Linked DNA regions of Saccharomyces cerevisiae S288C. Changing the gene in region 3 together with the main gene of any one other region gives a genetic interaction. Each region holds a gene or a part of one and is shown on either strand. Other genes may lie near its edges. The genes, in order: RIC1, ARL3, APM3 and COG5.

Evidence for each region.
Region 1: mutations in APM3 (region 3) and RIC1 together harm fitness more than expected from each alone (negative genetic interaction), as found in Saccharomyces cerevisiae (5 studies listed by BioGRID).
Region 2: mutations in APM3 (region 3) and ARL3 together harm fitness more than expected from each alone (negative genetic interaction), as found in Saccharomyces cerevisiae (4 studies listed by BioGRID).
Region 4: mutations in APM3 (region 3) and COG5 together harm fitness more than expected from each alone (negative genetic interaction), as found in Saccharomyces cerevisiae (5 studies listed by BioGRID).

Annotation. Positions count from the first base shown.
Region 1 is NC_001144.5:223,328-233,017, reverse strand, and holds RIC1 (Ric1p), read left to right. Parts: upstream 1-4,421; coding exon 4,422-7,592; downstream 7,593-9,690. Other genes in the region: PDC1 (indolepyruvate decarboxylase 1), read left to right, coding at 1-628; thioredoxin TRX1, read left to right, coding at 1,005-1,316; NFG1 (Nfg1p), read left to right, coding at 2,567-3,052; AFB1 (Afb1p), read left to right, coding at 3,436-4,110; COX12 (cytochrome c oxidase subunit VIb), read left to right, coding at 7,846-8,097.
Region 2 is NC_001148.4:456,246-463,078, forward strand, and holds ARL3 (Arf family GTPase ARL3), read left to right. Parts: upstream 1-3,717; coding exon 3,718-4,314; downstream 4,315-6,833. Other genes in the region: LEE1 (Lee1p), read left to right, coding at 1-419; KTR6 (putative mannosyltransferase), read right to left, coding at 873-2,213; mannosyltransferase complex subunit MNN9, read right to left, coding at 4,534-5,721; DIG1 (Dig1p), read right to left, coding at 6,236-6,833. UniProt on the Saccharomyces cerevisiae protein: Involved in the targeting of ARL1 to the Golgi. Can bind and hydrolyze GTP.
Region 3 is NC_001134.8:774,741-782,640, reverse strand, and holds APM3 (Apm3p), read left to right. Parts: upstream 1-3,177; coding exon 3,178-4,629; downstream 4,630-7,900. Other genes in the region: BSD2 (Bsd2p), read right to left, coding at 1-50; SNF5 (Snf5p), read right to left, coding at 257-2,974; YBR287W (uncharacterized protein), read right to left, coding at 4,787-6,070; APE3 (aminopeptidase Y), read right to left, coding at 6,328-7,900. UniProt on the Saccharomyces cerevisiae protein: Part of the AP-3 complex, an adaptor-related complex which is not clathrin-associated. The complex is associated with the Golgi region as well as more peripheral structures.
Region 4 is NC_001146.8:529,567-537,160, forward strand, and holds COG5 (Golgi transport complex subunit COG5), read left to right. Parts: upstream 1-3,092; coding exon 3,093-4,304; downstream 4,305-7,594. Other genes in the region: VAC7 (Vac7p), read left to right, coding at 1-17; tyrosine/serine/threonine protein phosphatase MSG5, read left to right, coding at 376-1,845; COX5A (cytochrome c oxidase subunit Va), read left to right, coding at 2,159-2,620; YNL050C (uncharacterized protein), read right to left, coding at 4,513-5,308, 5,400-5,416; COPII subunit SFB2, read right to left, coding at 5,715-7,594. UniProt on the Saccharomyces cerevisiae protein: Acts as a component of the peripheral membrane COG complex that is involved in intra-Golgi protein trafficking.

The DNA.
Region 1 (9,690 bases), on a different chromosome or scaffold from region 3:
TAACGCTGCTGTCCCAGCTTCTACCCCATTGAAGCAAGAATGGATGTGGAACCAATTGGGTAACTTCTTGCAAGAAGGTGATGTTGTCATTGCTGAAACCGGTACCTCCGCTTTCGGTATCAACCAAACCACTTTCCCAAACAACACCTACGGTATCTCTCAAGTCTTATGGGGTTCCATTGGTTTCACCACTGGTGCTACCTTGGGTGCTGCTTTCGCTGCTGAAGAAATTGATCCAAAGAAGAGAGTTATCTTATTCATTGGTGACGGTTCTTTGCAATTGACTGTTCAAGAAATCTCCACCATGATCAGATGGGGCTTGAAGCCATACTTGTTCGTCTTGAACAACGATGGTTACACCATTGAAAAGTTGATTCACGGTCCAAAGGCTCAATACAACGAAATTCAAGGTTGGGACCACCTATCCTTGTTGCCAACTTTCGGTGCTAAGGACTATGAAACCCACAGAGTCGCTACCACCGGTGAATGGGACAAGTTGACCCAAGACAAGTCTTTCAACGACAACTCTAAGATCAGAATGATTGAAATCATGTTGCCAGTCTTCGATGCTCCACAAAACTTGGTTGAACAAGCTAAGTTGACTGCTGCTACCAACGCTAAGCAATAAGCGATTTAATCTCTAATTATTAGTTAAAGTTTTATAAGCATTTTTATGTAACGAAAAATAAATTGGTTCATATTATTACTGCACTGTCACTTACCATGGAAAGACCAGACAAGAAGTTGCCGACAGTCTGTTGAATTGGCCTGGTTAGGCTTAAGTCTGGGTCCGCTTCTTTACAAATTTGGAGAATTTCTCTTAAACGATATGTATATTCTTTTCGTTGGAAAAGATGTCTTCCAAAAAAAAAACCGATGAATTAGTGGAACCAAGGAAAAAAAAAGAGGTATCCTTGATTAAGGAACACTGTTTAAACAGTGTGGTTTCCAAAACCCTGAAACTGCATTAGTGTAATAGAAGACTAGACACCTCGATACAAATAATGGTTACTCAATTCAAAACTGCCAGCGAATTCGACTCTGCAATTGCTCAAGACAAGCTAGTTGTCGTAGATTTCTACGCCACTTGGTGCGGTCCATGTAAAATGATTGCTCCAATGATTGAAAAATTCTCTGAACAATACCCACAAGCTGATTTCTATAAATTGGATGTCGATGAATTGGGTGATGTTGCACAAAAGAATGAAGTTTCCGCTATGCCAACTTTGCTTCTATTCAAGAACGGTAAGGAAGTTGCAAAGGTTGTTGGTGCCAACCCAGCGGCTATTAAGCAAGCCATTGCTGCTAATGCTTAAACTCACCCAATGACCGATATATTGTGTTTCTATACTGTGTTTGTTATATATAGTTTACCTTTTTTAGACAAAAAAACAGAATTATATATTATCCTTATGTTTTGTTATTTACTCGGAAGCACACAATTGCCCACCACACAAAGGAGGTGGAGGAAACAATTAATTTTTCACACAAGAGGTATATATTTGGAGAAAAATGAAGAATGAGATACTTTTCTTCCGATTACTTAAGTATTACGGCTCTGAAATTTTCTCGAGCATTAGATGATTAAATCAAAATGACATAGTATTTCGCAACCTTTCAGTTGGGCTTTGTTTAAGAAGTGGAATACTTTTGCTTGAGTTGTTTAGTTTTATTTTATCCACTGTTGTCTTAACAAATATTTTCAAGACCGGTAAGCCGAAGATGAAAAATCATTATTAACTCATTTTTTGAACAAAAATATAAACAAAAGAAAGGCAACGCACAATTTTAGAGATACATAAAACGCAGTGGATGTTAAAAATAACAGCGGTACAGAAACGCCTGTCTCGCTCCAATAATAATTATACAAATTTGAAACCGAACGCAATGTGCCAAGAAATGTAAACACACTATAGAAAAAAATAGAACGGTGCACATTGTGCTAGCATATCTGCTTGGTTCTGAACAAGAAGCACCTGGCCACTTTCTCCTAGCCCAATTCTTGCCAAGTTTTCAACCTCAATCTTTTGTGTTTGAACAAGCATGTATGAGGGGTCAAAATTTAGTGGAGGCCGCTTACAATCCTTCTATTTCCTCTGGACCTCATTAGCCGTCTGGCCAGACCTAAGCGTCATAATCTGGAGAATTTCATTGCATGCGAGAATATGATAAGTAAGAACTTGTTTATTTATACAAGTTCCACCCACTCATACACGGCTACAATTATGACGTATAATAACGTTTCGTCTAGCCCACCTTTTTTACTTTTGACGTTTTATTTCTTTCGAGGATTTGGCCAAGAATGCCCCGAACAGCGGAAAAAATGGCGTCGCAGTTTCAGATGTATAGACTCATCTTGTAGAAAAAAGAATGCAAGAATGAAGTCTTTTCGTGGTGTTTTGAAAACACTATAAACAAACCGTCAACAAACATTTTGTATAAATATTTAGCTATATATTGAATATCTTGACCAGTAAAGCACCTTGAGAAATTGTAAGCTTGAAGAACGTACTTTGATATCCCTCCGTTTCATCATCCTATAGCTCGTCAACAAATCAAAAAAAATATGAAGATCAGTCAATTTGGCTCTTTAGCTTTCGCCCCAATTGTGCTACTACAACTGTTCATTGTTCAAGCGCAACTTCTCACAGATTCAAATGCTCAGGATTTGAATACTGCCCTTGGACAGAAAGTGCAATACACCTTTCTTGACACTGGAAATTCTAACGATCAACTACTTCATCTTCCAAGCACCACCTCTTCCAGCATTATTACTGGTTCATTAGCTGCTGCTAATTTCACCGGTTCTTCATCATCGTCGTCTATACCAAAAGTCACTTCCAGCGTCATAACATCTATAAATTACCAATCCTCAAATTCTACGGTAGTCACCCAGTTCACGCCATTGCCTTCTTCGTCGAGAAATGAAACAAAAAGCTCTCAAACAACTAATACTATAAGTTCAAGTACAAGCACAGGAGGTGTAGGTTCAGTCAAGCCATGTCTTTACTTCGTTTTAATGTTAGAAACAATCGCTTATTTGTTTTCTTAAACAAATATATTAGGTTCAAGGTCTTCGCAGGTGTAAGAAAACCCGTGGTCTCCATATTCTTAAGTATGATAAATAAAAAAAAACTTAATAAATTATTAATTGCTTCAAACCTTTTTCTTTTTTTAGTTTTTAATATTTCAAACGTTATCTTCATTGAACGCCCAAATAGGGAAAAATCCTGGCAAATTTTTTATTGCTGTCATCCAAGGCTATGCTAGAAAATTCAAGAGCTTGGATGATTTAAAAAGACACTCTCAATCGAGAAAGTTTATTCTTTGTTATTCTGCTTTACCTGATCATATTCCGGCGTATTGTTTCTAATCAAGTGATTTCGATATCCAGTTACGAACCATTTACAACATTCCTGAAAATATTGCGTATCAATGATATTTGCTCCTTCTTTCTCCCTCATTAAAAATATTCTCCTGGTAAGCTTTCTAATCAGCCACAGTTTTGCTGCCAAAACTTTAACGTCTAGTTCCAATGACGATACACTTGCCAGGTCCGCAGCTGCAGATGCAGACATGGCATTCTTCATGGAGTTTTTAAACGATTTCGACACCGCTTTTCCACAGTATACCTCATACATGATGCAAAACCATTTAACCCTACCTCAACCTGTTGCTGACTACTACTATCACATGGTTGATTTGGCCTCAACAGCAGATTTACAATCTGATATTGCTCAGAGTTTTCCGTTCACTCAATTCCAAACATTCATTACGGCCTTTCCATGGTATACCTCTTTGCTAAACAAAGCCTCCGCCACCACCATATACCTTCCCCAACACTTCATAACAGGTGAGACAGAAGCTACCATGACTAACTCATCTTATGCCAGCCAAAAAAACTCCGTTTCCAATTCTGTTCCTTTCTCGACAGCGAACGCAGGCCAGTCCATGATTTCCATGGCTAATGAAGAAAACAGTACAACAGCACTTATATCCGCATCAAACTCTTCTTCAACATCCAGAACTAGTCAATCACAGAATGGTGCCCATGCCAAAAGCTTATATTTCCCCATGGCGTTGTTCGGAATCTTTGCAGTTGCCCTTTAAGTGCCTCAACCAAATTTGACAATTTAATTCCATGGGAGGTCCGCCATCCCTTTTCGCTTTTTTTATAATATGTGTATTATTTATACAAATATGTATATAAGTATGTACTTTTTCAATGGACAATTCGATTTTAAGAGCGTTTTTAGTGACAACGATGAACATCAACTTTGTACAGTATCAAACGATTTATTTTTAACATATTATTATAACTTCTGAATGGCGTTGCCATCTTGGCCAAAATCTTGTCTTTTCTGTCGTTTTATGGCAGGCTTTTGTTCTTTGATGTTAATTCGGCAATACCGACGCCTTTGATGTTCATCAAACAGTCTGAAAAAAATACACCTAAATGCCTCTACAAAAAAAAAGGTAAGGTAAGAGTGTTATTGACCGGAAGCTGTAAGAAACTGAACACGTGGAAAATGCACTTATGGCCAGTCAGTCCGCCCCAATTGCTTAGAATTCCACCCCGCAACGCCGAATTAGGTGAGGGTACTAAAATAGATGATTGCAATATTCTTCAATCAATGACACTACCCCAGGCCAATGTTCTTATCATGCTAACCCCAACAAGAGTGCTCATTTACAACTTCAAACCAATGGCACTAGTAGCTAGCCATGAACGAACAATGGCTTCTCTTAAGGAATTTGGCGATAACAGATCAATGAAACGATCAGCTCCATATAATGATATCATCGAAGGGCTTATTTCAAAAAAGGACTCGCAATACTTATTGTGGCACCAGGGAAAGCTGATATTTTACGTAATGACTGATAAAAACTTCCTTTTAACATACCAAATTTTAAAAAACTGCACAAATGAAATAATTTTCAAAGAATACGGCATACCCGTCATAGAGCCTCTTTTAATGAGTGAAGAAGAAGCGAACAGTGCTGAATATGACTATAACAACGATGATGATACTCTCACGGTATTTGATAAAAATAGTTCTTCAAGAATTATACAGAATGGATTTGGCATAACTAAGGAAAAAGGGTTTTTACACTTTCTTTCTAATCAAGAAAACATTGATGAACTCCCCGTGAAAAAACTAGAACTTCGTTTAAAAGTAGTTCTTAAATTTGACTATGAAATCATAGACATGATTGGCATCAAGACATTTTCCAAAGTCGGGGATGGGCGTTATGAAGAAGTTTTGATAGTTTTATTCCCTCATGGATTACAAATACTTACAATATCGGATTTTAAAGTTAGCAAGAGCTCGTTGGTTGAAGTGAAGAAGGGATCCAAGACAATTGTGTGTAATAAACAATTAATGGTTTTATCTCATGATTCCGTCGAAAAGCAGACTATTGTAAGCATTATAGACATTGAAAAGCAAGCTGTTGAAGCAATACCGTTAACGGACACACCAGATGAACTTTTGACTTGCCTAGAAGTTAATGGATACCTGGTGGTCGTTTACAAAGAAAAAATAATCTGCTTTGATACAAGAATTAAAAAAGTAAGCCATTCTTGGAAACCACCATTTGTGATAAAACTTTGCGATAAAATTAATGATAAAATATTACTTTTGGTTTCTGAGGATAGTGTTAACATTCATTTTTACACAGAATTTGGGAATCTGCTATTCGCTACATATTTTGACGAAGATGATTATAATGGTGATAACAATAATGACAACAGCAAGGATAAAAATGAGAAAAAGGCGGCTGAATATAAAATTTCTGATTTTGTATGCTTGGATAAATCACTAATAACAGTGTCTCATTCCGGAAAATATCAAGTTTGGAAATTATGGGAAGAAATAAAACAAACACAATTTGATTTCAGAAACCCAAAATGTTACGTATTAACCAATACGAACAATGATGTAATCATATATTCACCTGTGACAAGTTCTTCAATCAATAATGATAATTTACAAGTCATAAAACTTCCTACAAAGACTTTCAATAATCATATTGCTTTTGTAAAAATTAATTCTTCCTTGAGGTTATTTGCTACTTATGTGTCGAACAAAAACATACTGCTTATCCACAATCTAGAGACCAATATGTGGTCTAGTTTTGCTGACCAAAACGTGTTGGATTTACATTGGCTAGGTGATAATTATTTGGTTTGTCATATGAAGAATGATGATGGCTCAACAAATCTGAAATGTCTGCAGATTCCACTGCAAGAAGCGAATCCGGACGTGGAACTATCAGATTATGTCATGTGGGAATACAATGTTCCAGAGAATACGATTGTTTTCAGTTTACATGTTAATACTTTATCCCGGTATAAGTTGTTGAAAATGAAATCCAAGAATCACAATGCTTCTGAAAAACAACCTGATGCATTGCTTAAAACTGCCGAGATTATTTTAGTTACTGATACACAGACAATTGTCTTCGATGTAATTTCTACTGTACATCCATGTGGATTAAACATCATCAAAAAATTCTACCAGTATCTCAAAATTAACATTCCAATTGATGTTTTACCCAACAAAATTGAGTGGATAATTAACATGAAGGAGGGCTTGTTATTTTTTGCCGATAGGAAATTTATAAAGCTTGGCAAAGTGGATGGAGGGGGCTGGCAAACCTTAACTTTGTTGGATAACATAGAAAAAATAATCGATGTTATCAGGGACGAAATATTTGTAGTTCAAGGCCATAATTACGTCGTATACTCTTTGGAAGATTTATGGGATGATAAAAAGCCACTAGTTTCCATTCCAATCGAAGAAGATTTGTATCCAATATCAACCACCCCAGAAACAGCTACAACACATACACTTCACTGCATTTTTAACGCGCGATTTTCCAAATTGGTGGTGAAACACCAAATATACCTCGACCAATTAATCTTAGCCAAATTAGAAGACAACACAGATTTGGAGGATATTTCACACAATTATCGTTTTTTAAAGCCTTACAAATTTGCACTCGAAAAGATTTTGTCTACTAAAATACTGCGAAGCGACTCTTTGGATGATATCCTGAAATTAATTAAGATGTATGACAACACCGATCCTGAGCATAATATTTCACCACCAACCCACAGTGGTATGTTAGAAATTATTAGTAATTGTTTAAGGAAGATCGAAACTAAATACTGGAACCATCTATTCACTAATCTAAAGATGACACCAAGAGATTTATTAGCACTCTGTATCGAAGAAAATGAGGCTAAAATGCTTGGCGTACTTCTGTTAGTGTTTTTAAATTACGATGAGAAAGATTTGGGAGATGATCTACATTTTAAGAAATCAGATTTAGGGACTGAGGAAAGCAAAGCTCTAAATGATAACTCTACAAAAAAGTCAGAGAAATCTGTCACTAATTTATTGAAGGATGAAGAATTAATGCTTAAAGTCTTAGAGCTTTTGGTGACAAGTGCTGCAAACGCCACAGACCCAATTAAAGCTACCGATTCGTGGGACATGTGTTTCCAATTAATACGCTTACTCAAGGAATTAGACAGAGAAAACAACACACAATTGGTTCAAAAAGCACTCGAGAGATTCAAATAAATCTATATGACACCATGTATTCTTTACCATATAGCTTCATAACATTGACCAATCAATTTTCAGAAATGCGTCGCGCGTAGTTTTGCCCGATATCCCCATCCCTTCAGGATCTTTAAAAGGTGATGAAAGATGCACCAGATAGAAAAGTTGCATTAAAATGATTAGCAGAGATATACAAATATTTTAGTAAGAATACATAAAGTATCTTTGCTTTCACAAATAGGAACAAGCACATAAATACAGTATAATAGACATGGCTGATCAAGAAAACTCTCCACTACATACAGTTGGTTTCGATGCTAGATTTCCCCAACAAAACCAAACAAAGCATTGTTGGCAATCTTATGTGGATTATCACAAGTGTGTTAATATGAAGGGCGAAGATTTTGCTCCGTGCAAGGTCTTTTGGAAGACCTATAACGCCTTATGTCCCCTAGACTGGATCGAAAAATGGGATGATCAAAGAGAAAAAGGTATTTTCGCAGGTGATATCAACTCAGACTAAGGATCTTAGTTTCGTTTTTAGTAATGTGCACTTAGCCTTTTTTATATCATTATTATTAATTACTAGAATTCATTTTTGCGTAGTAGACCTACACGGGATGAAGGATATCTATATGAAAAGTAAAGTAACAATAGGAGATAATGAAAAAGTGATATCATACGCTAACGAATGTTCATGATGGAGCCAAATTCCTAAAAATCAAACAAACAGAAAAAAATGAGAATGATGTGGGGTACTGAAGTTTTATTTTTCATATTTATTTTTAATTATAGTAAGTAGCCATTTCTATATATATTCAAAAATTATTTGACCCTCGTAACATCTGCCACTGCACTGAAAAGAACAAGGCAATGGATAACGCTGATAAAGACGTCAGCATGAACTTTCAATTCACTGAGATAGCAACATTTTCGAGGATTATATAAGGGGTACTAATCTCTTCTAGTCATCGTTTGAAATACATTCAGGCTGAGAAAGATAAACGCTGAACATGTTGAGAATAAGGCACTTCCTGGGACCTACTAAAAGATAATAATATAGTATTTGAAGAGACCTTCATCAACAGCCTGAGATCGGCACACATCCTTCACAAGCGCCCCAGTTCCAGACTGAAGTACACATTTCTATCTCTTACAGTCACTACTTGCGATTGCTACTACTAAACGAAATGATGGCTGATTTCTGAATGTCAATTCTTTACTTATTGTTCTATCAGGCTAGAAGGATAGTAACATAAACTTCTAAAGTACCTTTAAAGAGCCTCAATGCACTGCCTTAACAAGCAAATGACAATTTTCCTATCAATTGTTTCACGAAATACGTTTGTCGTAATTTTACGCATTACAGGTCAGAAGGAGACTAGATAAGGCCGATTCTCCGAGTACTGTTGAACCACAGGCTTCAGCAAGTGAAAACCAACAGACAAAACAAGGAAAACAGCAAGATTAACCGTTTATATTTGCTTCTACTACCTCAACGGAGAATGGAGCAGGCCTTTGAAAACGCTCCTACTTTTGAAATTGCCTTTGTAAATATTGTATCTCCAGCCGCGCTTAGCTAAGTGGATATCACTAGATTAAAAAACACTCTCGAGCTACCCTATGAAGACAAGATTCATCCATAAACTCCCTAAGTGGGTATCCATTAGATGCCAACTACTTCACTCATGCAATACATACAGCAATTGCAAGACTTGTGATTTTAATCCAAAAGAAACTTCCCTGGGTGTCATGAACCCAATCAATGGCCGTAACTCTTCGTATGGTCAGTTTATAACTCTCAATCACGTTTCCTCGCTCATACCCTAACAGGTACGACTCCTCTGATCATATAGAGGGATTTTAATGTTTCTGATTTGGGAAACATTCAATTTTTCTCCTGACAACCGTTTAGTGTCAAACATTGGATATTGCCCTCGTTCAGAGGGCACAGAATAAAATTTGATTTCTGGTTCATTTTCTTGGCCAAAGATTAATTGAAGTTGTCAAGGCATGCCAAAACTTCCTTTAAAGGTATCATCCCTGTACCGAACATTCCTGTGCTCCTGTATATATCATAATAAGATATAGGTAGTACAAAGGCGCGGATCCGTAT
Region 2 (6,833 bases), on a different chromosome or scaffold from region 3:
AAAACAACTACTTATCCCATGCTAGATCAGCTTCTTTCTCTACCTACACGTCTCCTCCTCTGTCTGCACAAACGGAATTCTCTCACTCTGCTTCGAATGCAAACTACTTTTCCTCGCAATACCTAATGTATTCGCCTCAGAAAAGTCCAGAGGCCCTATATACTGAATTCTTTTCTCCCCCTTCGTCTTCTTCTTCGTACATCAACTATAGCTATAATAACTCCAACATTAATGCCTATTCTCCAGTCTCTTCGTCTTCATCTAACATTTGGCAAGAGCAAGGCCAAACTACGTTATCGAATCCGAGTGTGAATCAGAATTTAAGGTATCGTACAGGCCCTGCAATTCAAGAAGAATCAGATAATGAAATTGAAGATTTACTTATTCACAATTTCAATTCCAGATACTGTCATGAATGAAGAGCCGCCCCATCCATAGTTTTTCCTAGTTCAAGCATTAATATACCGGACCACTCTACATCTTCCGAAAGCCGGAAAATAAGAACAAAAAATAATAAAAAAAAGCACGTTTAATATAAAAAACATTTCATTGTATGAGTTGGATTCTTTTAATTTTATTTTAAAATACGGTTGCATTTTGCATAGTAATATCCAACCAATTATTTACTGAAATTTGAAATTTGATTAAAAAAGTCAAACCAAAAAAACTACGACAATACATGAAGCTCTGAATCTTCTAGCCTAGTCATTTTATATATATATATTCACCTCCTCTCGATACGTTCCATCATAAGTTAGTTTTGTTTTTCTCTTTCTCGCGATCCTAATTAAAAATTAAATAAAATAAATAAATACATATGTATATATATTCATATGTAGAAGATTATTGTTCTTATACATCAGTGTTTTGATTTATGGTAACCTATCCCAACCTTCTGGCTTATCTTTCTTCATAATGTCGAAGTAATGTCCGCCACATGAACCACTTCTAAACGTGAAATCGTTACCCTGGTCACAGTTACAATTATATTGGTTCCATATATCATCGTTTAGGGGACAGTTATTGTACTTGTCATAATGGAATCCTATATTTTCGAAAAAATGTATTTTATCCTTTGGCAACAGCATCGATAACCCAATTGTGTGGATGATGGAATCAGACCATTTCCAGTAGAAAATACCGCCCTCTTCGTCGATGTAATTAAAAAATTTCCTGTAAGCTGGCGATCTATAAAAGTTCAAATTACCAATTTCAAAATTTGATGTGAATTCACAGTTGTTAAAATCTTCAGAGTCCTTTTTTGTAATAAATGACTTGAAATTATTCTCGGAAATAAACTTTGGAAAATCCTTTGCAAATTTTTTCGTAACATCCCAAATCTTCTCATTGGCTTCCTTAGCTTCACTCATACTCAATGTGAAACCAAACACTTTGCCTTCATCTTGCATCCACCTAAAAAGGTCATGATCAATATCACAGTACAATTTAATACCAGGGTCTACTCTCCAGTACCAATCAAACTCATCCAGAACTGGATGCCTCCAAAAAAACCCTGCAAAATATCTAGCTTGATATCTTACAGCTCTAGAATCACCATCCGGTACATTTGCTAATGAAATTAGCGATTCTGCTGCTTTATTTTCATCAATCCATTCAGGGTATACCCATTCGTCTGCAGGAATTTCAGCAAATTTAATATTAATTAACTCAGGATCACCATTCATAGAATCAGTTATGGCTTGACGAATCATTTCTTGCTTCATTCCGTCAAGCTCCCCCTGACTAATAAAAACCCAAGGATAAGCAAAATTTTTGTTAAACTTCACCTGCACTTCATCAATAGATTGTAAGATTTGGGTCATGGAATCCCTTTCAGTAATTAGTGAGACAAAGCACGCCTTTGGTGGTGATCCTCTATGATTGATATACGATGGCACCATGAACCCTAGCGTCGTTTCATTACCACCATAAGATTTGATCTTTTCCTTAATGGCATTCACGGTGGCATTTCTAATGGCCTCTCCCTCTAAAGATTGCTTCAATTCGGCTTCTTCCTGTTCACTTTGTATACGCCTTTGTTCCTCTGCACTAATTTTTGCAATAGGTTGCAAAGATTTCGGAAGGTATGGTGTAACATACTGTTCAGACATCTGCTTTGTTTTTGGATGATTTATTGTCACCATTAGCGCAAGCACGAAAACAAACGAAATCAACAGAAAGCGTGCTATTTTTTTGCTCAGCAGTACGTGCATCTTACCTTATCTTATCTTCACTAAAGGGCACAAAAGGTTGGGTGAACGCTTAGTATCCCTCTAGTCTTGTATACTCGTACACATTATAAGTACATTTAACAAATCTCATCCACATTTCTCGAATAAATATCACATGTAACTTGAAGGTTATTTTTATATTTTTTTTTCCTGTGAAGGAACAACTCGTGTCTCACGAGAGCGCCACTTAAAAAACGAAAAGATAATCGGCGATGACTATATATGTATGTGATTGAGAATAAAAATATGGAAAGATAAAAGACCTAGTAACGTTGTATTTCAATAGTGAGGATAACATAAAGAAGTAAAAAGATCTTTGAAAATGTATGAAGTAATACAGAAAAGGAAAACAAAAATAATAAACGTTTTACAGAGTCCTGAACTCATGAGGCTCATAGAGGACCCATCAAATCTGGGTATTTCTTTACATTTTCCAGTAAGTTCACTGCTAAAAAGTAATAAGTGCACACCAATGCCTAAACTTTCTACGTATAGTTTGGCTAGTGGGGGATTTAAGGATTGGTGCGCGTGACATCCCTCTAGACGTTCCACCAGAGATTGATATCATCGATTTTTACTGGGATGTTATTTTATGCATGGAATCTCAATTCATATTAGATTACAATGTTCCGTCAAAAAATAAGGGGAACAATCAGAAGTCTGTTGCTAAGCTGTTGAAAAATAAGCTTGTAAACGATATGAAAACTACGTTAAAAAGACTAATTTATAATGAAAATACCAAGCAATATAAAAATAATAATAGCCACGATGGTTACAATTGGAGAAAACTAGGCTCGCAGTATTTCATACTGTATCTTCCCCTATTTACGCAGGAACTGATTTGGTGTAAACTTAATGAAAACTATTTCCATGTTGTATTACCATCTTTACTGAATAGTAGGAACGTTCATGATAACCACAGTACCTATATAAATAAAGATTGGTTACTTGCCCTTTTAGAGCTAACTTCCAACCTGAACCAAAACTTCAAATTCGAATACATGAAATTGAGATTGTATATTTTAAGAGATGATTTAATTAATAATGGTTTGGATCTTTTGAAAAATCTTAACTGGGTCGGTGGGAAACTGATTAAAAATGAAGATAGAGAAGTCTTGTTGAACTCGACCGATTTAGCTACGGATTCTATTTCTCATTTATTAGGTGATGAAAACTTTGTTATTTTAGAGTTTGAATGCTAAGCAGTTATATTCAGTTAGAAGCATATATCCCACCATTAAATAAGTTAACATACTACTGCATTTTTATTTTATGTTTAAGAGCAGATACGTCAATGTAGCTTGCATATGTACGTATCCTCCCCCACCTCCTATTTTCTACTTTGAACTTTATGGGAGTGTTAGTATAAGAAATATGTTTACACCTTTTTCAGACAAATGTAAACGGAAAATTAAAAAACGAATTCAGATCGATGTGTTAATCAAGTAGATGAAGGAGAATAAAGCATATAAAGCGCACCGCACACATGTTTCATTTAGTCAAGGGACTTTACAATAATTGGAATAAAAAGGAACAATATTCAATTCTAATATTAGGTCTAGACAATGCAGGCAAAACGACGTTCTTGGAGACATTGAAAAAGGAATACTCTCTGGCGTTCAAAGCCTTGGAAAAGATACAGCCTACGGTAGGACAAAATGTGGCGACAATACCCGTTGACAGTAAACAGATCTTGAAGTTTTGGGATGTAGGTGGTCAAGAATCACTGAGATCAATGTGGTCCGAATACTATTCCCTATGTCATGGTATAATTTTCATTGTGGATAGTTCAGATAGAGAACGATTAGACGAATGTTCCACGACCCTACAGTCAGTTGTAATGGATGAAGAAATTGAAGGTGTACCCATCTTGATGCTGGCCAATAAACAAGATAGACAAGATAGAATGGAAGTACAAGATATAAAAGAAGTATTTAATAAGATTGCGGAACATATAAGCGCTAGAGATAGTAGGGTTTTACCAATAAGCGCATTGACTGGAGAAGGTGTTAAAGACGCTATAGAATGGATGATTGTTAGACTAGAAAGGAATAAAAAGTCAAGACCACCGATTTATAAATGATAAAGAAGCACCAAAAGAAATAAAATGTGAATGGTTTATTCTCAAGCTCAGAAATTAGTTGTTGTAGCACTTTTTATTCGGCATTTTTTAATATACATGTGTAAATTATATATATATATATATGAATATATATCTTGTTTTGTTTATTTTCAACTAATAATCGCAACAATATTATCTTTCAATAACGCTATAGCTTCTGTATGCTTTTTGCTCAGTTGCTCAATGGTTCTCTTCCTCTATGTGATAAACCAAATAGTTTGGTAAGCCAAATACATCGTAGTTTAATCTCTTCGCCATCTTAGCAAAACCTTCTGTTTCAATCAAGTGATAAAATGGGAAATTAGGGAACATGGCACCGTCTCTGTGAACTTCTGCTTTGACCAAAGTACAGCCTCCACCAACACCATCCAGCGCCATCTCTTCACCTGGTACGCCATTAGCATCGTAGAAATGAGCCATTAATGGCCTATAAGTGGCAATTTCTGCATAACCCTCGACAATAATCTCGTCATCACCCATCTGAGAGGCTATTTCTAAACCGGTGTCACTTTCTTGCCAGTTGTTGAAATCGTATGGTCTGATTGATGGTTGCTTCTTCTCTTCATCGTAAAATCTTTGATAAATGTTTGCAGCTAAGATAGCTTTGTTGTGTTTGGTCATGTCTTGAATTAAAGATGGTGGTGTCTCTATAATATCGGCATCTAGCCACAGCACCCAAGAAGTGTGAGGTCCTATGGTGGAGAATAGTAATTCATTGCGCGCCAAAGCCATTGCTGCACGTCTTTCCTTTTGAACATCTAAAGCGTGTCTTTCCTTCTCCATCAACTTATCAAAACTCTGGGAATTCTGTCGCAAAATAGTAATTTTACTAAATCTTTGAGTTTTCTTGTCCGTTTGAACCTTTTTAATAGCATTCTCCAATTTCTTTAAGGCCAAGTCACCAGTGGCTGTTCTTGGTGTAATGAACCCCAATTCAATCAATTCCCGAGGGTAATTTAGCTGCAGCAAATTGTCCCAGTATTGTTGATGAAATGTTTGCATTGGAGTCAATATCAAAATATGCTCCTTATTGACAGCTGCTTCTGACGTAGAGTGCAATTTGTTCAAATCATAATGTGCAATATGACCTTCTGGGATAATATCTTCCACGTGATCGTTGAACAACCAGCCGCTTTTTTTCTTATAAGAGTACTTTGGCATTTTGTATTTCTTGGTGAAGGGAAAATAAAATGTGTTTTCCTTTTCGTGTGCCCATTTGTGTTGGGAAATGGACTGGCCATTAAGTCCCAACAGAGATTGATCTCTCTGGAAAAAAATTATATATATTAGAAATATGGCCAAAACAGGTAGAAAAATGTTAACCCACGGGTTCTTTCTTAGGCGGTACGATACAAGAGAAAGTGACATTGTTTCCTAACTTTTTATTCTAGCTCTTTTAAATTCTTCTGTTTGAAAAATACTAAAATTGATGCTATTCTCTTCTTACTTTCACAAAGTGCGGAAGGAAAAATAGGTTCAGAAATAACGGGTCCCAAGAGCGGCTAACAGAAAATAATAAAAGCTTTTCTACCAATTGAGAATCCGCTTGGTTGACGACTTTTCCTCCTTTATTATTCTTGATTTGGTGTTCTGTTTTACTTATATCAAAATACTTCAACGCCAAATCCGCTACAACGATGGAAAGGAAAAAAAAAAAAAAAAAAAAAAGACAAACCAATGCTGTCGTGTCTAGTGACGATAAAGGCTGTAACTATTAATAAGGTGAATACTCACCCTCATCTTTTAGTTTATCAAACTTATATAAAAATTGTGTATGTACTGAATTGTCCTTGGTGTGCGAGTGAGAGTGTGTGTGTGAGTGCGTGTGTGAGTAGGTGAGTGTATGCGAGTGTATGTAAGTTTATAAGTGCCTGTGTGGCTACTATTTTCCGGTTCTGTGATGTGATGATGATTTTTTTGTCAGCTCCTTTGATTCATTCCATACTTTATTACATATGCTCATAAACATTTTCTTGTCTACATTGCTAGAGCTCAGGGGGAACTCGAAGGCAAAAATATGCGATGAGAGTCGGATTTCGCCTTGAAGAAGACTAGGTGATTGCTGCTGCGGCTGCGAGGTCCGCTGGAACGTAGTAAAAGTGGGAGTGGGGACCGCTCCGTCCTCGATGGCCAAGTCCGTACCCTCTTCTTCGTCTTTATTGGGTTCTGCCTCATGCCATGAACTCCTGTCCCGGTTTGTGCTTGTGCTTGTACTTGTGCTTGTGCTTGCGCTTCTGGCTTTCGTGTTGGCCGAGAGTAATGCATCCCGTTCAAAGTGGTATTCTTCAGCAGGTATCATATCTGCTGGGCGTAGATCCGCGCGCTGTTGCGTAGGACCGGCATTCGCACTTGATCCTACGCTAGAATTTCTTGAGCCTTCCTCGGATCGTCTGGTTTTCCCAGTGGAAGCGGTGCCACTCAAAGGCGAATCATATGAGTCGTTAACCCTCTTGTTTCTGTAATTGCTAGCACTATACTCA
Region 3 (7,900 bases):
GCATGAAGTGTATTCATTTCTTGCCCTATAAGTAGTTCTTGCTCTGGCATAGCGCTTAGTTTCCTAGACTACGTGTTCTTGTTATTCTCATGCTCTTTTTATGTATCTAAATTGGAAGATTTTTATAAAGGTTATGTACTATTCTTCTAAAAAAAGTAGGCGCAAAGGGACTCCGCATCGTATAACACGATGATAATACAAATTCTTCCACGGTTATTTACATCTCCGGTATATTTTATATATGTGTATATATTTTCTATGTATTCTGTGTGTTATTGTTACTGCTACCATTATTGCTATTAGTCAACAATGTCGCTTCGCTATCATGTGGTGCTACTGGAGGTGCTATAGGAAGACTAGGTGTAGGTACCGATTTACTAGCTGCCCCACCTGGGATTACTGGCTGCAGTGTGGGATTGGGTGAATTAGTAACAGTGTGATTGGCAATCGGGTTTGGGATTGAAGGTATCGTCACACCAGCGCGAATGTTACTATTCAGCTTAGTTTTCAGCGATTCTGGACTCGGAAGCATTGCATTGGTGCCACTACTTGTGTCATTGGGCGCTGCTGCGAACTCTTCTTTTGTATTAACTTTCCCAGGCAGTTTAATAGAAAGTAGTAGCGAATGACCCGGAATATGGTCAATAATATAACAAGGAGGTGAAACTGGCTTAGGTCTATCTGGCCTGCTTTTATAAGTGGTTGTGTTTCTCAATTCGTACGATTCCACAGAAGGGCCTACGTCAACACCACCAGGCATTAAAGTGCTAGGTACTGGAGTCCTGAAAGTTCTTGGAATATCTGCAATATCTGGCAGTAAAATCTCTCCTGGTGGCAACGATGAAGCATTTCCTGCTGCTACTGTGTTGTGAACGCCGTTCATAGATGTATTACTTGCAGATGTGCCGGACAATGCGAGCATACCACGTCTATTAGATCTACCTTGTCTTCTTTTCCTTCTTGTGTCTCTGTCCTTATCTTTATCCAATCTCTCTAACTCTGCAGCTGAAATCTGTAATAGGTTTGGAGTAAAAATTTTGCTTTCCGCTGCAGGCCTATAAACATCATCAAGAGTAATCGTTGGGAGCATTCTGCTTCTAATGTCATCATCTTCTATCGCTGATCCATCAAAATTGTAACCTAACAGTGCCAGTGATTTATGATACATATGAACTTGCTCTCTTATGGAGTGAGCAATGGCAGTCACAAACTCACCTGGTAGTTCTAATTCTTGACACATGGACTCTGCAAACTCTTCTGGACAGTTATCACTATTAGAGATGTCCCACTCAAATTGATCGATTAACTGGTTTTGTCCCACGACAATATCCAGCTTGATTCTAATTCTCAAGTCATCACCGCCTAGACGGTCCTGATTCAACTCTATATATGGATTTCCTTGAAACTCCTGAATCTGCTCTTGTATAGATTGACAAATAGTATCAATGTGTTGCTCTCTCGTAGCGTCCTCAAATCGGTAATCTCGCAACATGTCGTCCACAAAGTCTTCAATTTTAATAAGCTTGTCATTTTTGTTCCATAACAAAGTGTCCCTGAGGAAGAATCTGTCACGATCTTGATCGAACTCCAATCTTATGGGAACTAACTGTTCCGATGTCTCATTCATGGCCTGTTTATAGACTTTTAATTTATCCTCTAGGTAATGCTTCCTATTTCCAACTTCTACTTGTGGAATAACTCTGGTAGTTGTATTCGTAATCCCATTACCATACCCTGAGTAACCATTTCCCCAAATACTTGCCGAAGGAATCTTCTGAGAAGTGCTTGTGATAGATTTCATTCTAGTGTTCTTCAAATCTTGATAATACTTCAGTGTATGCCACAGTCTACTAATATACTCTTTATTACTAAATCCATAAATGCTAAACGGATCGTAACCATTGGTTTCTCTTATTAGCGAATATTTGTTAATTTTATCACGCTGGATAATTTGTTCGTACAACAAAGTATCCGTATCTGCTTTTTTGTCTGACCAATAGGTTGGATATGGTAGCTTGGTTTCTGGTGGATCGTATTGAATAGTTTGGTACTTGGGTAAGTTTAATTTTGGAAGTTGAGGAAGTTGGCCAATAGTTGGCTGAACATTGGTGGGAGGTTGTCCACTCATGGATCTAACTTGAGGAACTTGCTGAGATTGCGGTATTTGTCCTTGCTGCTGCTGCTGCTGCTGCTGCTGTTGTTGTTGTTGTTGCTGTTGTTGTTGCTGCTGCTGTTGCTGTTGCTGTTGCTGCTGTTGCTGTTGTTGTTGTTGTTGTTGCTGATGCTGCTGCTGCTGTTGTTGTTGCTTTTGTTGCTGCTGTTGTATTTGCACATGATGCCTAAACTGTTGTTGCTGTTGTCGCTGTATTTGGTTTCTAAGTTGCTGCTGCTGTTGCTGCTGAACCAGCAATTGCCTCTGCTGTTCTAGCTGAGTTTGTGCCGTTTGCTGTCCCTTTTGCTGCTCAATTTGGCGTTGCACTTGTTGTTGTGCAACAGTAATTGCATTCACAACCTGTGGATTATTTTTTGCTATGGCCTGCTGCCTCAACTTGTTCAAAACTTGTTGCTGTGTAGCCAAAGGTAACTGAGCAATTTGTGGAGGCAAATTAATAGGCGCTGGAGCTAAGGGCACTTGACCAATTTGGGGATGTAAGTTGTGTGGTGCTGGAGGAGGAGGAGGGGTAGAAGTCGCTGATTGATTAGCAATGGGTTGAGATTGTTGCGGAGGAGGGGGTGGAGATTGATGCGTTTGCGGTGGCGGTGAAGTTTGTTGTTGTTGTTGTTGTTGTTGTTGTAGACGACTCCTCAGTAACTGTTGGTGTCGTTGCTGAATCATCTGCAATTGTTGTGGTGTGAGGCTCTGATACAGCTGTTGCGGAATTTGCGCCATGTTAAAAGATGGAGTTCCAATGTTGCTAAATATATTTCCAATACTATTTGGAACGCTGTTGGTACCCTGCGGCTGATTATTCATTGTTGCTTTTGTGTAGTTCTTTACTATATGTTCCCTTGATGATGCTTTGTTTTGGTGTTTATGTTTGAAATTTCAGTTTCTTTTAAATGCGACGAAAAATGAAATTTTTGGTCAAAGAACAAGAAGAGATTTATTTAAAGTTGGCGATAACAGGACTTGGGCAACAACAGAGGCTGTAAACCTTACCAACCCAACCAAAATAGATGTATTTGTCATTCTATATCACTGATACAAAGAACAAACTTATTTTCCAGTATCTTTTAGGTGCAACAGCTCCCTCCTTCAAGCACCTGTGGACCCGCGTTCAGTCCACATGTCCTCAATTGCTCGAAGATAGCAGTAGTGATGATTATTTAGACCATTCAATGGTTGGAAGAGATTTAGAGGTCTATAAGTATTTCTCAGTTATAAATAAGCTCAATTATTGGTGCTTAGCCTCCACTTCGAAGTCAAAAGGCCCGCTTGATTGTTTTACCTTTTTAGAGACTATAGATCGTATCCTGTTAGAATATTTTGACAAGGATAAATTAAGTATCAAGAAAATTGTTAATAATTATGATAGAATCAGTTTGATTTTTAACTGTTGCGTCGAAGCGGGTGAACCAAATGTGAGTGATATGCTCTATGTTAATAAAATTAAAGAAGCTGTTCCTGAAAGATCGGATTTATCGAAGTTCATAAGTTCTACAGCCCATAATTTACAGCAGGCTGTGCAACTCCCACAACAAAGGCAACAGCAGCTACAACAAAATCAGATTTCTCGTGGTAGTAATTCACTAATCGAAAATGAAGAGATTGTTCCCTGGAGAACTTCAAGGGCTAGCAAACATGAGAATAATGAGCTTTATGTGGATTTGTTAGAAACATTCCATGTTGTATTTGAAAAGAAAAAATCACATCTAAGGTTGCTCACTGGAAGTATCCATGGAATAGTGGACGTGAGATCTTATTTGAATGATAATCCTCTAGTTGCAGTAAAATTAAACACTATGGGAAATGATATAGGTATACCCAGTTTGCATGACTGTGTTGAAATCAATGATGGTGTGTTTTCTCCCTCTAATATAACGTTTATACCACCAGATGGGAAGTTCAGATTGCTGGAGTATTCCGTCGATTTAAGTTCTCAAGTAAAGCAATCCGGAGTAAGGATGAATTCTATTGGCTTGATGTCTTTACACTTCCAAAATGGATTGGGTAAAGATTCTGATGAATTTGAGTTATCCTTAAATATTGAAAATTTCAAAAAAGTTTCACAAGTTGATGACCTAAAAATAGATTTACAGTTCAATGTTGAGAATGCTGATCCAAATGAAATAGCATATAAGATAAAAATATTGCGCAATACTCATGGCCGTTTTGAAAATAGCATTATCATGGGTCAAGGACAATGGATTTTTGATAAATCAACTGCCACTGGAACGGTACCTGTACTACGTGGCTGTATTGAGTATGAAAATACTGGGCCAAATTTTACAAAAAAAGTTGATTTACAAACAGTCTCCTTAGAATATTCTTACATAGGACAATCGGCCAGTGGAATCTATGTAGAAGCCATCGATATTGTATCTGGATTAACAATTGGCAAAAATACAAAGCTGTACAAGGGTGCAAAGTATAAGACCCAGACAGGCAATTTTCAAGTAAGGCTGTAGTTATATGTGTACTTGAAATTCCATGCGAAACTAAATAGAATATAATGAGAATATAAGTCTTGGAATAAAAAAGGAATATAAAACTATGCTAAAAAAAAAAAAAAATGAATAAGACTTTCATTCATGAAGACTCTATACAAAGGAATGAAAAGTTGTATTAAGTTGGGTTAGCCCACTGTAAAACGTAAATTGCACCTGAGACAACAATAATACTTACAGGCAAACTTAAGACAGCGTACCCCCAAAATAGAATATCGGCCATTTCTGCCTCGAAAAATTCATTCAGTTGAGTGATTTGAGTTAATTGAATGGCAGGAGGGGAAACAGTCAAAAGAAAACCGACAACAAGGAAAATTGGATCGTCCAAAATACTCACGTTTATGTACTTAACAGCAATAGCAATAATAGGCAAAAGGAAGCAAGAAGGTAAAATCATTCTTCCGATGATGGAGCCGATCAATAACTTGCTATGGTGAACCGTCTTAGGGAAGACTTCCGCAGAAGGATATAAGTTAGAACCGAGGACAACCAGGATCAGTGGGATAGAAACTGAACCCAGCTGCGTAACAGCCTCGGCAAATGTGTTATTGATAAACCCATCTTCCATAAATAGCTCTCTCTGCAACGGACCAATTGCTGCCACAACAACAGCAAAAATCATGGAATATAACGGAGGATTAAGGTTCGCTCTGATTCTCTCAAATACAGTGCATGATTTTTGCCAAATCTTATCACCGATGGAACTCGAACTCAAAAAAGATGAGTTCATTCTGTTATTTTCTTCTTCAAGCAATTCTTGTTCCTCTTGTTCCTCATTGACAAGTTCCTCGTTATCAATGTTGGGCGTCCTTTCCAACAAAGATTGCACTTGAGAAGGTGGCATATGCTGAGTGTTCTCTCCAGACCACTTCATTAGCTTATTGTAACCCCAGCTCCACCTCAGCATTTGTCCGATTTGTTGAAAGATCAGCAAGTATAAAATACCCCTTGATGCAACGTTATCTCTGTTATCATTAGGAATTTGGTCCCAAGTTAAGTTGGGCAGAGTGTAAGCCAAAGATAATGTCAAGGACACAGGTAGAGAGTTACTGTTACCAAAGACAGAGTTTGCCACCACAAAATTAGTTTCATCTTTATCCAAGTCTAGGATACGGCTCATTATCTTTCCGGAAATAAATGAAATACCAGTAGTCAAACCAAAAAAAATAGGAATGATGGCTATTTCAAAGATTTTGGCCATGGACAGGGATTTGGCCAACTTACTAAAAATAAGACATGGTGTAAAAAGGTCCACGTTCAACAGAGAAATGATTTTTTGACTTTGTTTGGGCAGCAGACCAGAACTAGCGCTCCAAAAACCAGCGAGTGCGATAATGACTACCTGTAAAACGGACTCAAAGACCAAATAAGCCAAATGAGCAAAACTAAATGTTTCAACCATATAGTAGAAATGCAGAGTAATCTATGAGGGTATGGTTAGTTGGGAATAACAAACCAAAAACGGGCTTCACACATATTGTTCAATTTACAATAATTTCCTGTTTAAACTTTTATATCACAATTTCAGTTTTTTTTTCTACCTTTTTTTCACTTTGATAAGGAGGCTGTGATCCCCTTGATGCACGTGCAGTTAAAAAAAAGAGGGTTTTTATTTTCTTTTAGATAATTATACAGAAATACTTGATGTGAACAGTACACTTAAATAATCAAGAAGTCGGCCCTGTACTTAAATTGTGGTTGTTGAGCATTCAATATGTCCACCTCTTTGTGCTTTTGGGTTTCTCTTTTTGGGAAACCCTCGAAAGAGTCAGCATAGGTGGCCACAGAGTGAGCAATCAACTTGGTGTTGGTAATGAATGCGTCCCAGGATAAGTTAGAGACATCATCACATAATTGATGGTAGCATCTGTCTAAGACCTTTCCGTTGTTGACGTTATTCTTTTCGGCACCAGTGGCAATACCACCGGCTGGAATTCCGTTGTTGATAAACCCGACATAATCGGATCTACCGTCAAATGGGACCAAAGTGTAGTTCAAGTGATGAGCCTTGTAGTAGTCTACGTACAGGTTTTTCAACTCTTCAGACCCCTTAGGGTTCTCCTTGTTGTTCGCATCATAAATTTCGTATTCATAGTTTGGAGAAGCCATCATGTCATAGTCCATAAATACTCTGATCTTGGAGTTTTCTTCTTTGGTCAAGTTATAAGCGTAGAAGTTAGAGCCTAGCAAACCTTCTTCTTCAGCAGCCCACCATGCAAAACGGACCTTGTTATTGATCTTGAAATGGGTCAATTGCTTAGCGACGTTCAATAGGGAAATAGTACCGGAACCATCGTCGTTGATACCTGGGCCCTCCTCAACAGAGTCTGAATGAGCACCAAGGGCAACAATATTATCAGGATCACCGTGTTTTGTGTCGGCAATGATGTTCTGGGTCTTGATAAATTCTACATAAGAGTCCATGGCAAAATATAATGAATAATCGATGTTCAATGCAATATTGGCAATCAATTTTTTACCAACTTTATATGGAACACCGACGGTGGCGACAGTGTGCTTGGTAGGTTCGCCTAATGTACCGTGTAGTCCTTCTTTAGATTTAGGTTCGTTGTCGTAAATGACCACAGCGGTGAAACCGAACTTACCGGCCAAATTACTCTTATCGCCAAAAGGACACTTACCTCTTTCGATAAGGGCAATTTGCTTTTCGTTGTGTCTTGGTGGGACTACAGAGGCGTAATCCTTCTCTTCACATCCCAAGTTAGGAATTTCGACTAGCTTACCTACGAACCCGTCCACAGGTGGAGAAAGTGCGAAAGCTGTAGTGTTAGCAAAGCTTTTACCGGTTTCGGCGTCAGAGAGGTTGAAAGAGATGATCTTACCGGATAAAGCTTCGAACTCTTGCAAAGAAACATCATAGTAGTCCTGCATGTCATCGAAAACATTCAATATGTATTCCATAGTCTTGTTATGACCCTTGGACCCGATCACACGGGTAGGGTGACCGTAGTCAGGAGTAGAATAGTTAGCTAAACGGTAGAGGTCCCAAGCAGTAGCATTCAAATCGTCAACTTTGATTTTATCTTGCAATTTTTCACTTTCTACATGTGGTTTCATGAAGTAAGGAATATGTGGCTTCGGAATGTTGGCAGCAACGGCAGAGCTATCATCGTCGTTTAATTGCGGAAGATAATTCTCAATTGGCTCTTCTTGTTGAAAGGCTTCCTGGAAGAATTGAGGAATGACATAGGCAGAGCCTAAATTGGTAGCG
Region 4 (7,594 bases), on a different chromosome or scaffold from region 3:
ATCCTGGTAAGAAGTGAGTGTTAAGAATGTAGCTTTTTCGTCAAAGCTGGGTATTTTTCTTTTTATAGCGCAGGAGCGGAAGGCAATTTCCAAAACAGGAATGTACTTTCCAAAAAAGGAAAATGTAGTTTGTTTTTTGATGTTTTTTTCTCTTTGACTATTTCAAATTTAGAAGTGAAAAAATACAAAAATGTTACATAGGATTCGATACAGTGTAATATATCATTATTATTACTTTTAAATAAAGCGTTTAGTAAACAAGAGTGAGGGTTATGCAACTCGTTTAGTAAACATTCTTTTTTTTTTCTTCATTTAAGTATAAGACAACAATAGTAGCGGAAGCGATAGTAATACATTTGGTAGCGATAAGTGCACATGCAATTTCACTCAGATAAGCAGCATTTGGACAGTAAAACCGACATCGATTTCAAGCCAAACTCACCGCGTTCCTTACAAAATAGGAATACCAAAAATTTATCTTTAGATATAGCAGCACTCCATCCATTAATGGAATTCTCATCGCCAAGCCAAGATGTGCCAGGTTCAGTAAAATTCCCATCGCCGACACCTTTGAATCTATTTATGAAGCCCAAACCTATTGTGTTGGAGAAATGTCCACCAAAAGTAAGTCCAAGGCCAACGCCACCATCGCTGTCGATGAGGCGAAGCGAGGCCTCTATATACACACTACCAACATCTTTGAAGAACCGAACTGTTTCTCCAAGCGTGTATACAAAATCATCCACAGTATCGTCTATCAGTAAGCTGTCATCATCATCACCGTTATCGTCATTTTCAGAAAAACCTCATCTGAATAGAGTCCATTCATTATCCGTGAAAACTAAAGACTTGAAGTTGAAGGGAATTAGAGGACGTTCTCAAACGATCTCAGGGTTAGAGACATCCACGCCAATTTCTAGTACTCGTGAAGGTACTTTAGATAGTACGGATGTCAACAGATTTTCTAACCAAAAGAATATGCAAACAACATTGATTTTCCCGGAGGAGGACTCGGATCTGAATATTGATATGGTGCATGCAGAGATTTATCAACGAACGGTTTATTTAGATGGACCATTGCTGGTACTGCCGCCTAATTTGTATCTATATTCAGAACCCAAACTAGAAGATATATTATCGTTTGATTTAGTCATTAATGTTGCCAAAGAAATACCGAACCTGGAGTTTTTAATACCGCCGGAAATGGCACATAAAATAAAATATTACCATATTGAATGGACACACACATCCAAGATCGTCAAGGACTTATCCCGATTGACACGCATTATACATACCGCTCATTCGCAAGGCAAGAAAATACTCGTACACTGTCAGTGTGGAGTATCAAGATCGGCGTCATTGATTGTGGCGTATATCATGCGATATTATGGCTTGAGTTTAAATGATGCATACAATAAGCTGAAAGGTGTTGCTAAGGATATAAGTCCAAACATGGGTCTCATCTTCCAACTTATGGAATGGGGAACCATGTTGTCCAAGAACTCACCGGGCGAAGAAGGAGAGACTGTTCACATGCCTGAGGAAGATGACATCGGAAACAACGAAGTTTCCTCGACTACGAAGTCCTACTCTTCTGCGTCCTTTAGAAGTTTTCCCATGGTAACGAATCTATCATCGTCGCCGAATGACAGTTCTGTCAATTCTTCGGAAGTAACGCCAAGAACTCCTGCTACGTTGACTGGAGCAAGGACCGCACTGGCCACAGAACGCGGGGAAGATGATGAGCACTGTAAAAGTTTGTCTCAACCCGCAGATTCACTGGAAGCTTCTGTGGACAACGAATCAATATCTACTGCCCCGGAACAGATGATGTTTCTTCCTTAAGGGACAGCATCTCCCAAAAGAATCTTTATGACTATCAGATCTGCAGGCAGACCGCCTCCCTACGCTTCTAAATAGAATGTACTTAGCACTTCTGCCTACATAGTAATTATTCATCATTGTAAGTGTCACATTGCAAAAATCGTCCAATAGACGTTTTCCTCGTTTGTGATTGGCCCTACGTTTTGCGCCGATACAAGCGGCGGCGAAAAGTTAAAAAGAACAATCAATTAAATAAGAACCATCAGTCCTCGTATTTTGTCTTCTGTTTGCAAGCAATGCACCAAACACAAGATCAACTAAGAACGCATCTACAATGTTACGTAACACTTTTACTAGAGCTGGTGGACTATCACGTATTACATCCGTAAGATTCGCTCAAACACATGCTCTTTCCAACGCTGCTGTAATGGATCTGCAATCCAGATGGGAGAACATGCCCTCCACTGAGCAGCAGGATATTGTCAGTAAGTTGAGTGAACGTCAAAAATTACCATGGGCACAGCTTACTGAGCCTGAAAAGCAAGCTGTGTGGTACATTTCTTACGGAGAATGGGGCCCAAGAAGACCTGTATTGAATAAGGGTGATTCCAGTTTTATTGCCAAAGGTGTTGCTGCAGGCCTACTATTTTCAGTGGGACTTTTTGCTGTCGTCAGGATGGCGGGTGGCCAAGACGCAAAGACCATGAATAAGGAGTGGCAGCTAAAGAGTGACGAATATTTGAAGTCGAAGAATGCTAATCCTTGGGGTGGTTATTCTCAGGTCCAATCTAAATGAACAGGCCAGAAATTTTGAAAGGAAATCAATAGGGGTTAACGATTGTCATGGTTTTTTCAGCTAGTCTGTGACCTGTACGAAAGTGAATATCTTATTACATTATAAGTGTATCCATGGGCATCCGCCCAATACAATGCCAACATATCAAACATAAAATTGGCTGATTGCCACTCTCACATTTTTTCTTTATTTATTTACTCAAATTTTGTAATTTTTTGTTAGACATATAATTTTATATCATTATTCTTATTATTCTTATATTTAAGGGAACCCCCCTGGAATGAAATAAGCTAATATAGTATGAGGGAATCCTGTATAAATGGGTTTACCTTGTTATTCTATGCCTCCCTTTCAAAGACGTATTTCTTAAAAACTTCTCCATTTGGTTGAATACTATGAAAAAAAAAAAATCAACTAGAATAGATATGGAAGATAAAAATGTGTAACAAAAAAGAAGAAAAGAGCTGGAGGTATGACAATAGCGCCAATGGCAAACGATTTAGAAGATTTTGAGTCTCTGCTGGAGCCTGATTTTGATGCTAAACAATTTGGTAATGACTTACTGAAGGCTACTAATAACAATGACACAACCATTTTAGACCTTAACACGCCTCTTAAAAAGCTAAACTATGATCTACATGAGATTGACTCTAGAATAGACCAATTGATGAATAGCAACCCATTGGAGATAATAGAGTTAATTTACAAAAATGAACACGTCAATTCAACCATAGTTGGTGAGTTGAAACCAAGTTTGGGATATATGAATATGTCGTACGATAGACTAAAGAATCAAGTTCTAGATCCTTATGAAAGAGCGAGGAAAGTCCAACTAGCGTTGAGTAAAGTTTACCAAACATCTTTTCTCTTGCGCGGAGCATTGCTTTATATTCATTTATCAAACAAATTAAACGCACTGTCTAAAACAGCCCAACTAAGCACATCAACAGCTATTAATTTAGCCTCCTTACACTACCAACTTGAAATTACTTTGGAAGAAAATAAAAATCTAAAATCCTTGCGGAAAATTAAACAATTAGATCAGGACATTGTTTCCCCCAACAAAAGAGAGTTAATAACATTTTTGTCTTTACAAATGTGTAAAGAGTGCTTGAACTCTATTAAAATCAAATCGAACAAAGAAATAATATCTCAGCTGGCCTACTCCTTATATCTACTTTCATCTCAAGAATTCGAGTCTGCAATAAACAAGATTGTACTATCTAATGTTACAATGAGCTCACAAATCCTATCAAAAATTTTAAATTCTATCAGGATGTTTCCTGATGCGTTCAATGAAGTTGTTGAAAAAGGTTATAACATCTACATTTTAGAAACACTACTACAGAACATCAAAACGGATAATGTTACGAATTCCTCGAGATCTATTGCTGCTAATAAATCACGCCTTGGCAATCTTTTATCAGAATATACCTCAATGAAGAGTAAAGCAGGTTCTGGTACACCGAGAGATCTGTTTTGGAGCAAAGTTTCATCTGCCTTCAAAAAGGACTTTGATATATCTGTTAATAGAGGAGGCCCTGTGGGCAAGTCGCTGTTAAAAAATAAAGATTTTATTATAAACACTATGAAGCAAAGTATGAAAAAATCTTCTGATAATAGTGATTACCAAAGCTACTTGGATGTAATGCTAAACTCAGTATCTATTTCTCTAAATAAGTGAGACAGTTTACATAAAATTAAGAATGTTGATGAAATAGGATGAATCTAAAGCAATTTTCAATAGCATGTGCATATGTTTAATAAAAATTACATGAAATGTAATATTTGTTTATATTATTAAAGATTATACTAGTAATAGTTATTATGAGAAATCCAATATCGGTTAGTTTATATGAAGTATTAATATGTATATATATACATTTACGTGGTCATTCTGTCCTAAACTTAGGGGTACTGCCAGCTTTTGCCAGTGGGTTCAAAGGTACCTTTTTTTTGTTTTTCTTTCCACCACGCTTATGAAACTTTTTCTTCAACTGTTTCTTTATCTCACGAGCTTTGGTATCACGCTCCTTGGTTCTTTCAAGTGCCAGTTTTTTGGCTGCACGTTGCTTTTGACCAGGTCTCCTCTTTTTAATCTTCAATTCCTTCTGCTGCTCTAACTCTATTCTCGCATTGTGCTTATACAGATCTATTATTCGACCCTGGCAATATGGCCATTTATCACGAATACGTAGATCATCCTCCAGAATTTTTGTACTTTCTTGTATTATCACATCATAGTCGATAGAGCTCTGTTGGAATTGCAGCTTTTGGTCTGCAGAATAGCTTGCAAAGTAGTAGTCTTTGGGCCTTTCTTGGTTGATTATTTCTTCTTCAGGTTCCTTCAATGAAATTTTCATCAAACTTACTTCAGTCTGTGGCGTATCCTTCTCTTGAGTTGATGAACCTTGTTCTTCTTGAGCTGGGCTAGTCGATGCTTCAACCACACCAAACGAAAATAACGGGAACTCGAATTCTTCTTGTTTTTCTTCCTTTTGTTCATGTGCGCTGTTATTACTTTCTTTGAGATCTAATGATGAGTCGGTTCTTTCAACTTCAACGAATTCAAATTCTGTTGGCGGTACTAATACCTCTACATGCTCACTATTATTTTTACTACTACTATTGGAATCATAATCTTCTCCTAATCCCTCTCCTTCATTATAAAGATCTTTTCTTGATACTCTGCAAAATAATTAGAATATTAAACGATTCGTTGAAAAGTTAGTAAAAAAATGAAATTAGAGGCAAACTTGTATCTTATGTCAAAGCATACATCTTAAATTCAGACATTTTTATACTGAATTTCAATGTTTTTCTTTTTTTTTCATTAGAGGAGATTTTTCCATTGCTGTTTAAATGAAACTGGTCGTATTTTAAGTACTTCAAATTTTTCTTTTTCGTACTGATCCGATGACTTGAAAATACTTATTTTTTATGTAGGAACAGAATGGCATTTTTGAAGTACATAACTCTCACACGCAAAGGCCAAAATCTTTCACGATTTACTTTTATTTCTATCTGTATTGTATATCAAAATCTATACATGATGATCGGTTAATAAAGATAAAGATTAAAGAAAGACTGATTGTTATCTGTTGATACTAGTCTTCATACTCTGTAAGTATTCTCTATAACTAGCACAATTTAAAACTTTGTCTTCGACAAGAGTACTTAATACCCATAGCCTTAAAGAAGCCATATCTTTTTCGGAGTTTAGGTTGGCGGGCTCGTTAATAGATGGTCCTCTTATTATGTATAATGATTGAAATGTGATTGTATCATTGTTTTCTCTAATTCTACCGATTATCCTCCTTAGTCTTTCATTGAAAGGCGAATCGTTCAAAAGAGGCAGTTCACTTTTCCCCACAGGAATTTGAGATATGGTGTCAGTATTGAATACATCTATTAGTAACTCAGGAACAGCATCTCCGCCAACCCATAAAAATAATTCTGCGGAATTGTCAATTAAATACAGGCCATATCTTTCGAAAAGAGATATAGTGGCATTTATAGGTTCAGGAAGAACCGTTTTTCCTTCAAAGTCAGGTAGACCGACTTCGTCGGGCATGTCGTGCAGGGAGTAAACTGTAGGGTAAATGCTCTTTATCAAATAATGAAGAGGCTCCGTTTCCAATCTATTCAACGCACTTGCACGGTAATCGCTTGGAACAACGCCCGGTCTGAGGGCTATATGTTTACTTAGTCCATTCATTAATAGAGGTAACATTCTCAAATTTGCGCATAGGTTAAGTGAGGTTACTGAATTTATATTAGACATCGAAATTTCTTTTTTGTAGGCATTTAAAATATCTTCGAGCGATTTTGTGATAAAATCCCTCGCAGAGTACATGCTTGAATTCAAAGCCTTAGTCACCGCGTTTTGTGTCATGAAATCAGTAATGGCTAGTTGATCTGCGGATGCAAACACTTCCCTAGCTGATTCGGACGTTGGTAGAGCTAACGTCATGACTCTAATTCTACGTTCACCAGTGTTTAGAGTCAACAATGTTGACACTTGCAAGTAGCAATATTCTGCCATTAATGAGTCTTCGATGGATATCCCGAAAAGATAAGACTGATCTCTAGGCATTGTGGAAAAAGCGCATAAATCAGAGGATCTGTTAAAAAAATGGCCAAAAAACGATGTGGCCCTCAAGCCAGTAGAACAACGAACTCTCATAACAGCTTCCATTGAAATATCCATGGATAAATGCCTTGATAATTCCCTAGTAAACTTAGTAACATCGTTCAAACTGGTGGCATTAAAACCAGGATAAAAATGTGTTTGACCACCAGAAAAACGGCCCAGGTGAGATAGAGTGGCAACGTCCATGTAGTCCTCTGATGCCAGAAACATGTCCACTGTTATTTGTAGTTTATTACACTCAATTGTGAATGTTTTATAAAAGGAATCTTTACACGACAGTAGCTGAGAGCTTTCTTTTGGTGTGTTTAATATGCCCTGTTCACTTCTTTTTTTCAATTTCCCGATGCCAGTATTTGGTAAAGTTGATGAAATGACTTCAACTTTGCCTCCAGTGCTTTTTATCAAATTTGACGCAGCTTTTAGGGCAGGTCCAAGTGCAAACTTGCTACTGTGTGTGTCTTGAAAAATTTCAGGTATCTTTTTCAACAATGTTTCCAGATTATTTTTACAATATTTTAGTGGAACTACTAATTCATCACTCGGCATTGGTAAAAATGGTTCATCCAAATCGCCAATATCAAACATTTGAATTGTTTCTGAATTATCAACGTCTTCCTCTTCCTCGTCTTCATCTTCTTCTTCACCATCTGATTCTTCATCATCCTCATCCGATACTTCATAATCATCATCCAAAGGAACGTAAAAATAATGAAGGCTATGATCAACACATATAATAGCAATTCTGGTCCTTCCATCATGATTTGGTAGAAATTCTATGTTTTCTAAAATGGTTCTGGCAGAAGTAGCCAATAAACCATTTT